2 linked regions of the Oryzias latipes genome follow. The main gene of each other region encodes a partner of the protein of the gene in region 2 in a complex. Links are inferred from orthologs where the notes say so. Each region holds a gene or a part of one and is shown on either strand. Other genes may lie near its edges.

Evidence for each region. Proteins that work in one complex are often made in the same cells at the same time.
Region 1: the proteins of mut (region 2) and mmaa are in contact, whole or in part, in a crystal structure (PDB 8GJU), measured with the Homo sapiens proteins. The link is inferred for Oryzias latipes from reciprocal best matches to the Homo sapiens genes MMUT and MMAA. Residues at the interface, in NP_000246.2 of Homo sapiens: Lys496, Glu609, Arg610, Glu611, Gly612, Arg613, Arg614, Arg616, Ala635, Thr636, Ala639, Asp640, Gly642, Phe643, Asp644, Val645, Asp646, Ile647, Gly648, Pro649, Leu650, Phe651, Gln652, Glu656, Gln659, Gln660, Val662, Asp663, Ala664, Asp665; in NP_001362573.1 of Homo sapiens: Arg98, Ala99, Ala102, Glu103, Thr106, Glu109, Ser110, Thr111, His112, Ser182, Ser186, Gly187, Gly188, Ser189, Leu190, Leu191, Lys194, Thr195, Met197, Thr198, Ser201, Arg202, Met204, Tyr207, Ile208, Arg209, Pro210, Ser211, Pro212, Arg214.

The regions. Positions count from the first base shown.
Region 1 is NC_019859.2:18,379,428-18,383,723, reverse strand, and holds part of mmaa (methylmalonic aciduria type A protein, mitochondrial), read right to left. Parts: coding exon 4,221-4,296; intron 4,065-4,220; coding exon 3,894-4,064; intron 3,393-3,893; coding exon 3,307-3,392; intron 2,258-3,306; coding exon 2,108-2,257; intron 1,029-2,107; coding exon 744-1,028; 3' UTR 1-743. UniProt on the Homo sapiens protein: GTPase, binds and hydrolyzes GTP. Involved in intracellular vitamin B12 metabolism, mediates the transport of cobalamin (Cbl) into mitochondria for the final steps of adenosylcobalamin (AdoCbl) synthesis.
Region 2 is NC_019882.2:3,015,987-3,022,171, forward strand, and holds the start of mut (methylmalonyl-CoA mutase, mitochondrial), read left to right. Parts: upstream 1-2,086; 5' UTR 2,087-2,213; intron 2,214-2,219; exon of another isoform or gene 2,220-2,335; intron 2,336-2,874; 5' UTR 2,875-2,898; coding exon 2,899-3,295; intron 3,296-3,662; coding exon 3,663-4,030; intron 4,031-4,104; coding exon 4,105-4,262; intron 4,263-5,961; coding exon 5,962-6,133; intron 6,134-6,185. Other genes in the region: peptidyl-prolyl cis-trans isomerase FKBP1B, read left to right, coding at 328-440, 585-713. UniProt on the Homo sapiens protein: Catalyzes the reversible isomerization of methylmalonyl-CoA (MMCoA) (generated from branched-chain amino acid metabolism and degradation of dietary odd chain fatty acids and cholesterol) to succinyl-CoA (3-carboxypropionyl-CoA), a key intermediate of the tricarboxylic acid cycle.

The DNA of each region.
Region 1 (4,296 bases), on a different chromosome or scaffold from region 2:
ATGTCAATAAATCCCTCAATGCAAAAACACATGAAAGATCACAATGACAATTAAAAAAAAAAAAACAAATAAAAAAAGCACGACATTTAGAAAATATTAACAAAATAAAAACTTCATTCCATTTAAAAAAAAATTAAAGAAACAAAAAGGAAAATTAAAGTAATTTCAAGAAATGAAAATGAAATGCAAAGAAAGAAGAAACAAAAAAAGGAAACGGGAAAAGGGAGCTATTATGGGAAATCACAGATTGGATGATGACGTTATTTGGCACAGCCATATCTCCCAGACAGTATTTCTTTCAGCTTCTGGCCACACCCACTGCAGAAGTTCAGCGATTATCCAATGCTGCTTTACCTTTTTTTCCAAACTCAAACGTCGTCATCCGATCAGCAATGTTCCATGGCACCTACCTCTTCCAGTTTCTTATTTGGTTTCATTTTTTAAGATTTTATTTAGATTTCTGGAAATTCCTTTTGTTTTACAAAACATTTTTTTTATGTTTTCATTTATCAAATGTAATGTTACTTTTTTTTATTCTCCGTTTTGCTTTTCTAATTGTCATTGTGAGCTTTAACGTGTTTTTGCGTTGAGTGATTTGCACTTCAGGGCCACCGTACAAAGGGGAGGTCTTGTCACACAGCATGAGGTAAAGGCTTTCTTTTGTGTGGGTCGCACATGTTCACTCTGTAACTTGGGACCAGCAGCAAAACCTGCTTGCATCCCACGGCGTTCCGGCCTGCTGCTCACTGTGCAGAGAAGGCTTTAAGGAGCAGGTCAGCAGCCAGTCCAGGAGAGACGACTCCTCTGGTGACCTTCTCCTCCAGGTCAGGTAGAGCCTCCTTGACTTTTGGGTGATTTTGGAAATGACAGAGGACGTTCTCCTGGATCAAAGTCCACATCCACACCTTTTGCTGGGCCCTCCGTCTGTCCTGCAGCTCGCCGCTGCTCAGCATGGCGTGCCTGTAGGACTCCATCTTGGCCCAGACTTCTGGGATGCCCTCAGAGGTGTAGGAGGAGGCGTGCACCACCTTTGGATGAAGTTTGTGATTGGGAAAGTGGGGTTTCATAAAACAGGGTATTTAACTACATCCTCACTTTTGTTAAGGGCTTCTTCTTATTGATCATCTCACTTTTGTGCTACAAATGTTCATAAAACGCCTGCTGCTGCAAGAATCTGCTGACAAGAGCTTCTGCCTTAAGTGCATTCATTTGTCATAATAAATGGCATAATGTAAAGTACAGTTTGGCAAAGAATGGATTACAAACGATTTAGAGAGTTTCTGTCAACATCATTAAGAGGACACTTTAATGAGAACTGCTCTTTAGTCCAATAAAGAAAAAGTTATTCCATGCACCAGAAATGGACTTTTACTAAAGTCACTGTTCATTCAGACTTTAAACATTGGGACCAGGAAAGACCACGGCCTGCAAAGTAGATCCTGTTTCAGAAACATAACCAACATCTCAGTATGATAACGCAAAAAACAAAAAGCTTCTATGTGTGGAACTAATCTGTTGTCTGGGGAACTGCCAACATCTGAAATGTCTTCCAGGTTTGGGCTGCATGGCACTTTCATCTTAGAGTCGCTTTTTTACTTTTTGCTGACGTCTATTATTCACCAGAAAACATCATCTCTCTTTGCCCACAAAAGTGAACAGTTTCAAATACAGTTAGAAAGAAATCTGCTCCACTGTCCAACCAGAAAGTTCTTTTAAAAAAACAGGATTTTTTGTTCTGAGTTTGAAGATGGAGTTTCAGAGTTTTCCTTTGTCCGTTTGTTTCCCAGGACAGGAAGAGTTTACAAAGCTGATATGCCATTTCAGAGGTTTGCTTGTGGGGCAGCCTGGTTCACATTCATAAATAACAAACACAAGGCTGACCCTGAAGGATGAAGCTGCCGGCGATTTCAGATTTTTGTGATGCTTTCAGCTCAGCACAATGTTACTGTGAGCTCTTCCAGTTTCACAGGCTGCTGTGCGGTTTAAGTGCAGTTTGTGTGGTGAAACACCGTCGTGATCATTCTGATCACAGTGTGTTTGAAATAATCAACAGGAAACTGCAAGTGGTAAAAAAGAAAGTCTCATCTGAACCAGCAAATTCACACACCTTAGTGTTCCAGGATTTAGTCCTTCTCCTCAGCAGCTTCAGCGCGCTGGTGTAATCCGTCTGGATTCTTCTGGCCGGCACCACAAGGTCACCATCTGACTTTGTCACCACAACCAGGTCTGCCCTCTCAATGATGCCCCTCTTGATGCCCTGGACAAAGACCTAAGCTTTAAAACCACACTTTAGGTCTGGTTTCTTTACTGCCTGTCCAGTTTATAGACGTCATCTTTTATGTTTCAGCTCTTCTGTTGTTCTTCACCACACTTTACTTATGCAAATATTTTAAATCTGTACTATGTGTATCTGGGGGATACTGCTGGTGGTTATAGGTTGGCACATTCAGCCATCAGTGAGTGAATGGAGCTGTGACTGTAAAGCACTGTGGGCCTTTATAGTTATATAGGGCCAGAAAATGCATAGAAGAAAAAGGAAACGACATCAGAGATATATGAACATTCGAAATGGTTTAAAGAAAGACGTCAAATGTTTCAGATTGCAGATGGTTTTATAGAGAAGATGAAGGAAAAACACGTCCTGGACTATCAATTTAGTGGAAATCAACTATTTTGTAGGATTCAGAAAGTTAAAGGGCATTGTGTTCTACATCTACAATGAATAAACAAAAACATGTTTGTTCTCAGCACAAAAAAGCAAGATCAGTTTACAAAAGAACTGATATCTGCAGGCAGACAACTCTGACCGAAAACTGTTTATCCGCTTCGTTCATCGCCGTCCTGATCAAAGTATGACCCTATGTGTCACAAGAGTGAGAGCGAAGAAGACAAATACGTCTGCATGAAAGCAAAGCAAAGCATCAGAAATAAATGCAAGTTTGTTTCTATAAAAGGTCAGAAAAATGAGATACTTGTCTGTTGCTTTATAAAAGAGCAAAAAATAACTTCTGGATTCTTGTGACGGCTTGTTGGACAATGTGGGCGGTCCTAAAAAAGCGGATTGATCACATTAGGAAGGAGAGACAGAAATAAAAAGATTTGAGTCAAACGCTGATGTTTTTACATTAAACTCCAGGTTGTTAAATACAATTATGATAAATTGATGCAGTTTCATTTTCAGCCATTACAACAGAGAACAAACATGAGTGATATACATAAACCCTCAAAGCTCCATGTCTCGTCCGCCGCTGAACAAGACCAGAGGTTTGAGGAAAAAAAAAAAAAGGTGATGTTCCTCGAACCCACCTGGAGTTCATCGCCCCCTGCTGGTGGAATCAGAAGCACAAACATGTCCACCATGTCGGCTACAGCAAATTCAGACTGTCCGACACCTGGGAAAAAAAAAAAAAAATATATATATATATATACATATTGTTGCTGCCTAGAAATGAACAAATAAATCATGTCAATCTAAATTTATTCATACCCCCCCTCCTCAATCTAATTAAGTCTCCTGATCGGTTACATTAGCACATATTCTGTTGCACGCCTGTACAGTGAGAGTAAAATCATGCAAATTTTAATCAAGACTTCCTGAAAAGCTGAAAAAATGCTTTTGAATAATCATGAGCTTGGACAAACTTGAGATTCCTCACAGTGAATAAATTTCCTCCTTGAAAAAAAAAAAAGCAGTTCTGATGCGCAGATGAGACTGGCACAAATTCGTCCCTAATAGTTTCACTCAAGACCGCAAGAGAGTCAGAAGTACCGCGAATCCTTTTTGGACAGCTACTTCCTACTTTTTATGAAGCCGTCCAAACAACATTACAATTATCTTTAGGCTAATAAACATGATGCTGCGGCGGAGGAAGGACATTTGGGATGAGGCTCACCTACGGTCTCCACGAGGATCACGTCGTAGCCCGCCCCCTCACAGAGAACAATGGCCTCATTAGTGGTTCTGGTGACACCGCCGAGCGTCCCTGAGGTCGGCGACGGTCTGATAAAAGCATTCATGTCTCGAGAAAGCTCAGTCATGCGAGTTTTATCGCCCAGCAGGGAGCCTGCAGAAGCATTGGAGTCGGTGAATGACTTCTGCTTAAAGAGCTAATTAGGAGAAGAACTCATGAAACTGTGATGTAGATGAAAGGTGTCAACTCTTTAAAAAAAACGTGACAAACTTTGCATTAGTTCTGACAAAAAGTGTGGTCAGATGTTACCTCCTGTGGTGCATGAGGACGGGTCAACAGCCAGGACAGCCACTTTGTGACCACGCCCCGTTAACATTTTCCCCAC
Region 2 (6,185 bases):
CCCTTTTATTGATTAACTTCTAAACAGGACAAAAATCAAATATATAGTCTTAAAAATGAACTAAAAAACCCGCTGCCGTCTTCTATCAGGGGCGAGTCCTGCAGTGCTTCTCCTTTTTTCCGTGTGGTCTAGACGCGTCCTGACAATGGCCTAGTTCACTGTTAAAAATAAAGCTCTGAATCAGGCCAGTGCTTCCTGATTTGACTTGTTCATCCCAGTAATTCAAGGAAACTGATGAAGACACCTCTCCAGAAGAACTCGCTGTGCGTTTGCAGCAAAGAATCTGGTAAATAAAATAGTAAAAGTGTTTATCGTTTATTTTTGCAGGCATGTTACAGAACGGAAAAAAGTTCGACTCCTCCCGGGACAGGAACAAGCCTTTTAAGTTCAAGATTGGACGGATGGAGGTCATAAAAGGCTGGGAGGAAGGAGTTGCACAAGTAAGAGTTTGATCTTTAGATTCCTAAAGTTTCTGGGGCGTTTTTACTCTTTTTGTGTATTTTCATAGCAACACTTGCAGGGAAACTGAGAACCTCTTCTCCTAAGTTATTGCTCTGTGTTCTTTTCCCATTCCCTGCCCTCAGATGAGCCTCGGTCAAAGAGCCAAAATCACCTGCACACCTGATATGGCGTACGGCGCCACCGGCCATCCCGGGGTCATCCCACCAAACGCCACCCTCGTTTTTGACGTGGAGCTGCTCAAGCTGGAGTGAAGCCTGCAACAGAAAAACGCTAAAGGTTGTTTCAGTGAGGGGGCCACACCTGGTTGCCACCTCCTTTATTTTGATCTCTACGGTCCTCTAACTCAGCATTTACATGTGTCCTGTGCTGCTTTGTTGCCATCCTGTCCTTATAGATTTTGCTACAAAGAAACCCCAAGACTTTTACACCATTTTTGATTTCTTCATCTTAATCGAAACAAACTGCCTTACCAAATGATGAATGGAAGAGGACATGTATTCAAGATACAACATCTCTGCTCTGTATATTACCTGGGCATTATACACACAACTGTTTGCATTGTCACTTTGATAAAGTGTTGTCCTGCTGAATGCTCTGAATGACCTTTAGTTTATTTTATAAATTTTATGCACATTTGCGGCAAGTGTACCCGATCAACTTCAACCCAATACTGTACAGCACTCAAGCCAATATGACCTAAATAAAAGTGGGGTGTACTGTGTTGAGAAGTCTGGGTCCTGTTTTTATTTTAAGATGAATCAAATCGCATTTCCAGTACATATATTCTCCAAAAGTATAACTTAAAACATGAAGGAAAATATCAAAACGATACAAACTTAGGTTTTGGAAATTAAGATTTAGAAAATGAGAAGCCTAATGGGACAATGTATAGACTATTATGACTTTGTTGTTTTGGTGCCTTAAAGCTTTTATTCTTTGATTCTTTTGTGATTATGTGAATAATTATAATATGTAATAATCTATGCATATAATATAGTAAGTTTAGTGGTGGGAAAAAAAATACAATTTGTCTTCTACCTACTCCTTTTTGAGCAATTTATCAACCATTTTATTTAAGTTTTTGATTTTTTTGCTTGAAAGTAAAAGGAAAATAGAAGGCAGTTTAATAGACACAGTATTATTGAACTTTAATCACAAACAGCAGTTTAGAATCAATATACTTTTTTCTAAGTTATAAAAAGTTCTTCCTTTATTTGTTTTTGCACATTAATTACCTTCTCTTGTTCAAATTTCTAATGATATGGTATCAACTCATATCTATGATGTCACTGGAGGTTAAAAAAAAGGCAATTCAAACAATAAAAAACAATAAAATAAAAGCTAAAATAAAGATGAAAAATATAAAATATAGAAATAAAATAGGGATCTGCCTATTAGAAGAAATAAATAAATAAAAAACTAAATAGCCTTATTGCTATCATATAATTAAAGACCCAATATATATATATTTTAGTTTCTTTAAAAACATTTATTGAAAGGGATTTTACTCATTTCTTTTTCTACCTCTTATGCTTATAATGTTTATCAAATGTGTAATTAGCTTTATGTATTAGAAAAATAAACTTCTGTAAAACGGAAGTAGTTCTTTACTTCCGGTGACGCAGGTCAAAGGTGATGCCGTGTGACCACAGCACGGGATTGGTCGATCGCAGTGTGCTTACAGTTCATTGGACAGGAAAACGCACGCCTTCTACCAACTCGAATAAGAAAAAAACAAAACAAGCTACAAGGTCAGAATATTGTTATATATTTTTTTATTTTAAAGCGATGTTTTGCAAATAAGAAATTTATTAGTTTGCGTACTGGTTTTTGTGTTGTTTTTTAAGCTAAACTACGGTTCTTGTTGACTAAAGTAAGTAGAGTTAGCAGACTAGCTTTAGCCCTCACGGGTTAGTTTTTCTTATTGCTTGTCTTTTATTTTTTTGTCTTTTAGTTTTTGTGTCATTTCTTTTATAGCCAAGTCTCTAAATGTATTACTGTTGGTAATGTTGTCACATGTTGTTGTATTTTTTGGACGCAGTTTGTCATAATGTTGTATATTCGGGGAGCAAACGCTTCACAAATCATGATAATACACTTCTTTGCAAGCTACATTTTTATTGTTAGCACATTTTAAGCATCTAAAATTATTTAGGTAGCTTTGTAATATTATTATTTCGATTTTTCATTAAAATATACAAAATACAACACCATCTCTGGAAAATGTAAGCAGATATTCCTATTTGTAACAATCAAAAACAGGAAGTGTATAAATATTCCAACCAATGTTTTATAAATAGTAGTAATGATGTCTTTTTGAGCAGAAATGATGGCTCGTTCACTTGAATGGTGGGATGACCTTATGGGTCATGTCCCTATGTCATGACCTTATGACCCTCCCTGTAATTTCAGGTCATCTCTGAGCCGGCAGTAAGTATGCTGTCTGCACACAAAGCATGTGCAGCACTAGCCGCCCGCCGCCTGCTTCAAGCCTCCGCCTCCTCGTCCCACACACGCCACCGTCTCATCCACACGTCCTCGTCGCATCGGGACAGATCCCAGCTGCATCCGGAGTGGGCCAGCCTGGCTAAGAAACAGCTGAAAGGAAAGAACCCAGAGGATCTAATATGGCGCACACCTGAGGGAATCAGCATCAAGCCGGTGTACACTCAGGCTGACTCAGAGGGACGTGCTGATGAACTGCCGGGAACGTTTCCCTACACTAGAGGGCCCTATCCCACAATGTACACATACAGACCATGGACAATCAGGCAGTATGCTGGCTTTAGCACCGTGGAGGAGAGCAACAAATTCTATAAAGATAACATTAAAGGTATATTGTTTTCATATAACACAAATATTGGAATTAGATATTTTAATCTGCATTTTGGGTCCCATTGTTGTGTCTAAAATATGAATTGTATGATTCTAGTTTGTTTCTTAAAGGTATTTAAATAGTCTTCACTTAAAGGATGGGCATTGTATAATTTTTTTTTAAAGTAAATAAAATATTCATAGTAAGTGCAAACTGCCCTGTTTCGGGGGTATTAATCTCAATAATTGTGTGTCTACTTTCATGTTTTATTTAACGAAACCTTAAAAATAGAAGAAATATTTCTAAATATTCCCATATTTTGAAGATTGTATTTAAAGTAAAGCAGTCCAAATTAAATTGACATCTTTTGGTTTTGTCGTTTCAGCCGGCCAGCAGGGCCTCTCCGTGGCTTTTGACCTCCCAACTCACCGTGGTTACGACTCGGACAACCCCAGAGTCCACGGGGATGTGGGCATGGCCGGAGTAGCCATAGACTCGGTGGAGGACATGAAGCTGCTCTTTGATGAAATCCCTCTGGAGAAGATGTCCGTGTCGATGACCATGAACGGCGCCGTCATCCCAGTTCTGGCCATGTTTATCGTGACTGGAGAGGAGCAGGGCGTTCCCAAAGAGAAGCTAACCGGCACTATTCAAAATGACATTTTAAAAGAATTCATGGTACGCAACACGTATATCTTCCCTCCGGAACCTTCCATGCATGCCATAGCCGACATCTTTGCTTATACCTCCAAGGTAAGCAGCACTTTTGATTTTGTACCTTTTATAATGTTATCATAAATGTAAAAAACGATGTTTCTTGATCCAAGAACATGCCCAAGTTCAACTCCATCTCCATCAGTGGCTACCACCTTCAGGAGGCCGGGGCGGATGCCATCCTGGAGCTGGCCTACACTATCGCCAACGGGCTGGAGTATTGCCGGACGGGACTGAAAGCAGGTTTAACCATCGACGAATTTGCCCCAAGGTACCAAAAATTAAGCAAAACGCCAATGAGTGCAAACATATGCTTAGAAGTGGATGTATGTTGAATCATCAAATATACAGACCAGTTTTTTTCAACCTTTTTGAACCAAGTTACACTTTTTCCTTCATAAAAATATCTCCAACTGAGACTATTAAAAGACCCACTTCAATAAAAAAAAATGTGTTTTTGGTTTTTGTGGCATTCTCCTCATGATGGAGGACATTCATAAAGAACATCAAGCGTAAAATTGCATCTCTGAGGATTTCTTTTTATTCAAATTGTTGTGAATCAGGAGCAGACGATCAGCAGAGCCGATCTGTCTGCTTCTCAGACCAGTTGGACTTTTTTTCTTTAACACTGATCGTCTCAGATTGCTCTTGTGAAATGTTTCAGTCAAAAGGTTTTTGGTTTTAACACAGACATGTCTGCTATGAATATGTGTCCAGATGATGCAACGCACTGGCAGTGGTATAACATTTTATAGTTATGAAAAATGCTGAAAAAGTCATGCGTTTTCAGTGATTTTCCACTGCCAATTTTGCTTTTACTCACCGTTAATCTGCCAAGCTCTTTTATTCGAATTTGCTCCACATCACACAGAGCATCTAAGGAAATAGCATCTGAGTTGGTAGAAAACATGCGACTCCACAAAAACAGCAGCTTTTAATGCATCAGGGTTCTCAAACTTAAACCTCAGGACCATCGCTTCAGTCCTTGACCTTTCCCTGCTGATCAGGACTCGCATACACTTATTATCTTCCTAATAATTGGTTTCTTAGACTTTGTTCAGCCTGACTCTGATCTGACCTTTACATTTACGTGGGAGAAACTCCTTTTTATCATATAAAATTAAATAAAATCACAAACAATATGACTGAATGAAGAAACAATAGCAATAAAACGTAAAAGCAATAAAATAATAAAACTAACAAGCTGGCCCACTAGATCCGCTCACTGGAGTTCAAAGCCTTAGTAAGAAGTTGAGTTTATAAAAGTGTCTTCATATTCCTGATGGTTCTGGCAGACCTCACAGAAAAGGAGAGAGCGTTCCAGAGTTTAGGAGCTGCAACTGAAAAGTCCCCGTCGATTTTACTCATTTTAGAACTTTTTGTTGTGGATTCTTTTTCACATATATACTAGATTAGTTCCTATTACTCTTTGCAATATTTAATGTCGTTTTTGATATAAAGTTAAAAGCTTTTCCATGTTGAAACTGAGGATATGTTCTAAATACTTTATGTTTTAACGTTAAACTAAAAAGTAAGTGAAGTGCTGTTATATATTTATGCAGCTGTTGGGTAACAGCTTTACTCAGATCATCTTTGGATCCATTTATAGTATTCCTGGTGGTCTTTTATTTAGGGGTATTTTAAATTTTCTAGGACATAGTTTCTGCAGAGCGGCAGGAGTTCATTAGAAATTCACCTGTGAGTTGTGGGCGGGACCAATGTGCATATTTTTTCACAAAAACTGCTTTTTCCCCCTCTGCTGCTGATTCACTATGATTTGAATAAAGAAATACAAATTTAAGCTTAATTTTCTTTATACATCATGAGAAAAATGCCTCAAAAAGACAGTTTTCATTAGAGTGGGTCTTTGAAAGATTCCCATAAGGGTTTACATTTTATGTTAATTCATAAATACAATTATTACTATAAGGATGTTTAAAAAAGGATGTATTTTTGAATTTTTCTGTCAGATTGTCGTTCTTCTGGGGCATCGGGATGAATTTCTACATGGAAATAGCCAAGCTGAGAGCCGCCCGGAGGCTGTGGGCCACACTCCTTAAAGAAAACTTCCAGCCCAAGATTTCCAAGTCCCTCCTCCTGCGAACACACTGCCAGACGTCGGGCTGGTCGCTGACAGAGCAGGTAAATGCTAATCCGCACATCAAGTCCGACAGGAAGACGACAGAAGCCCTCA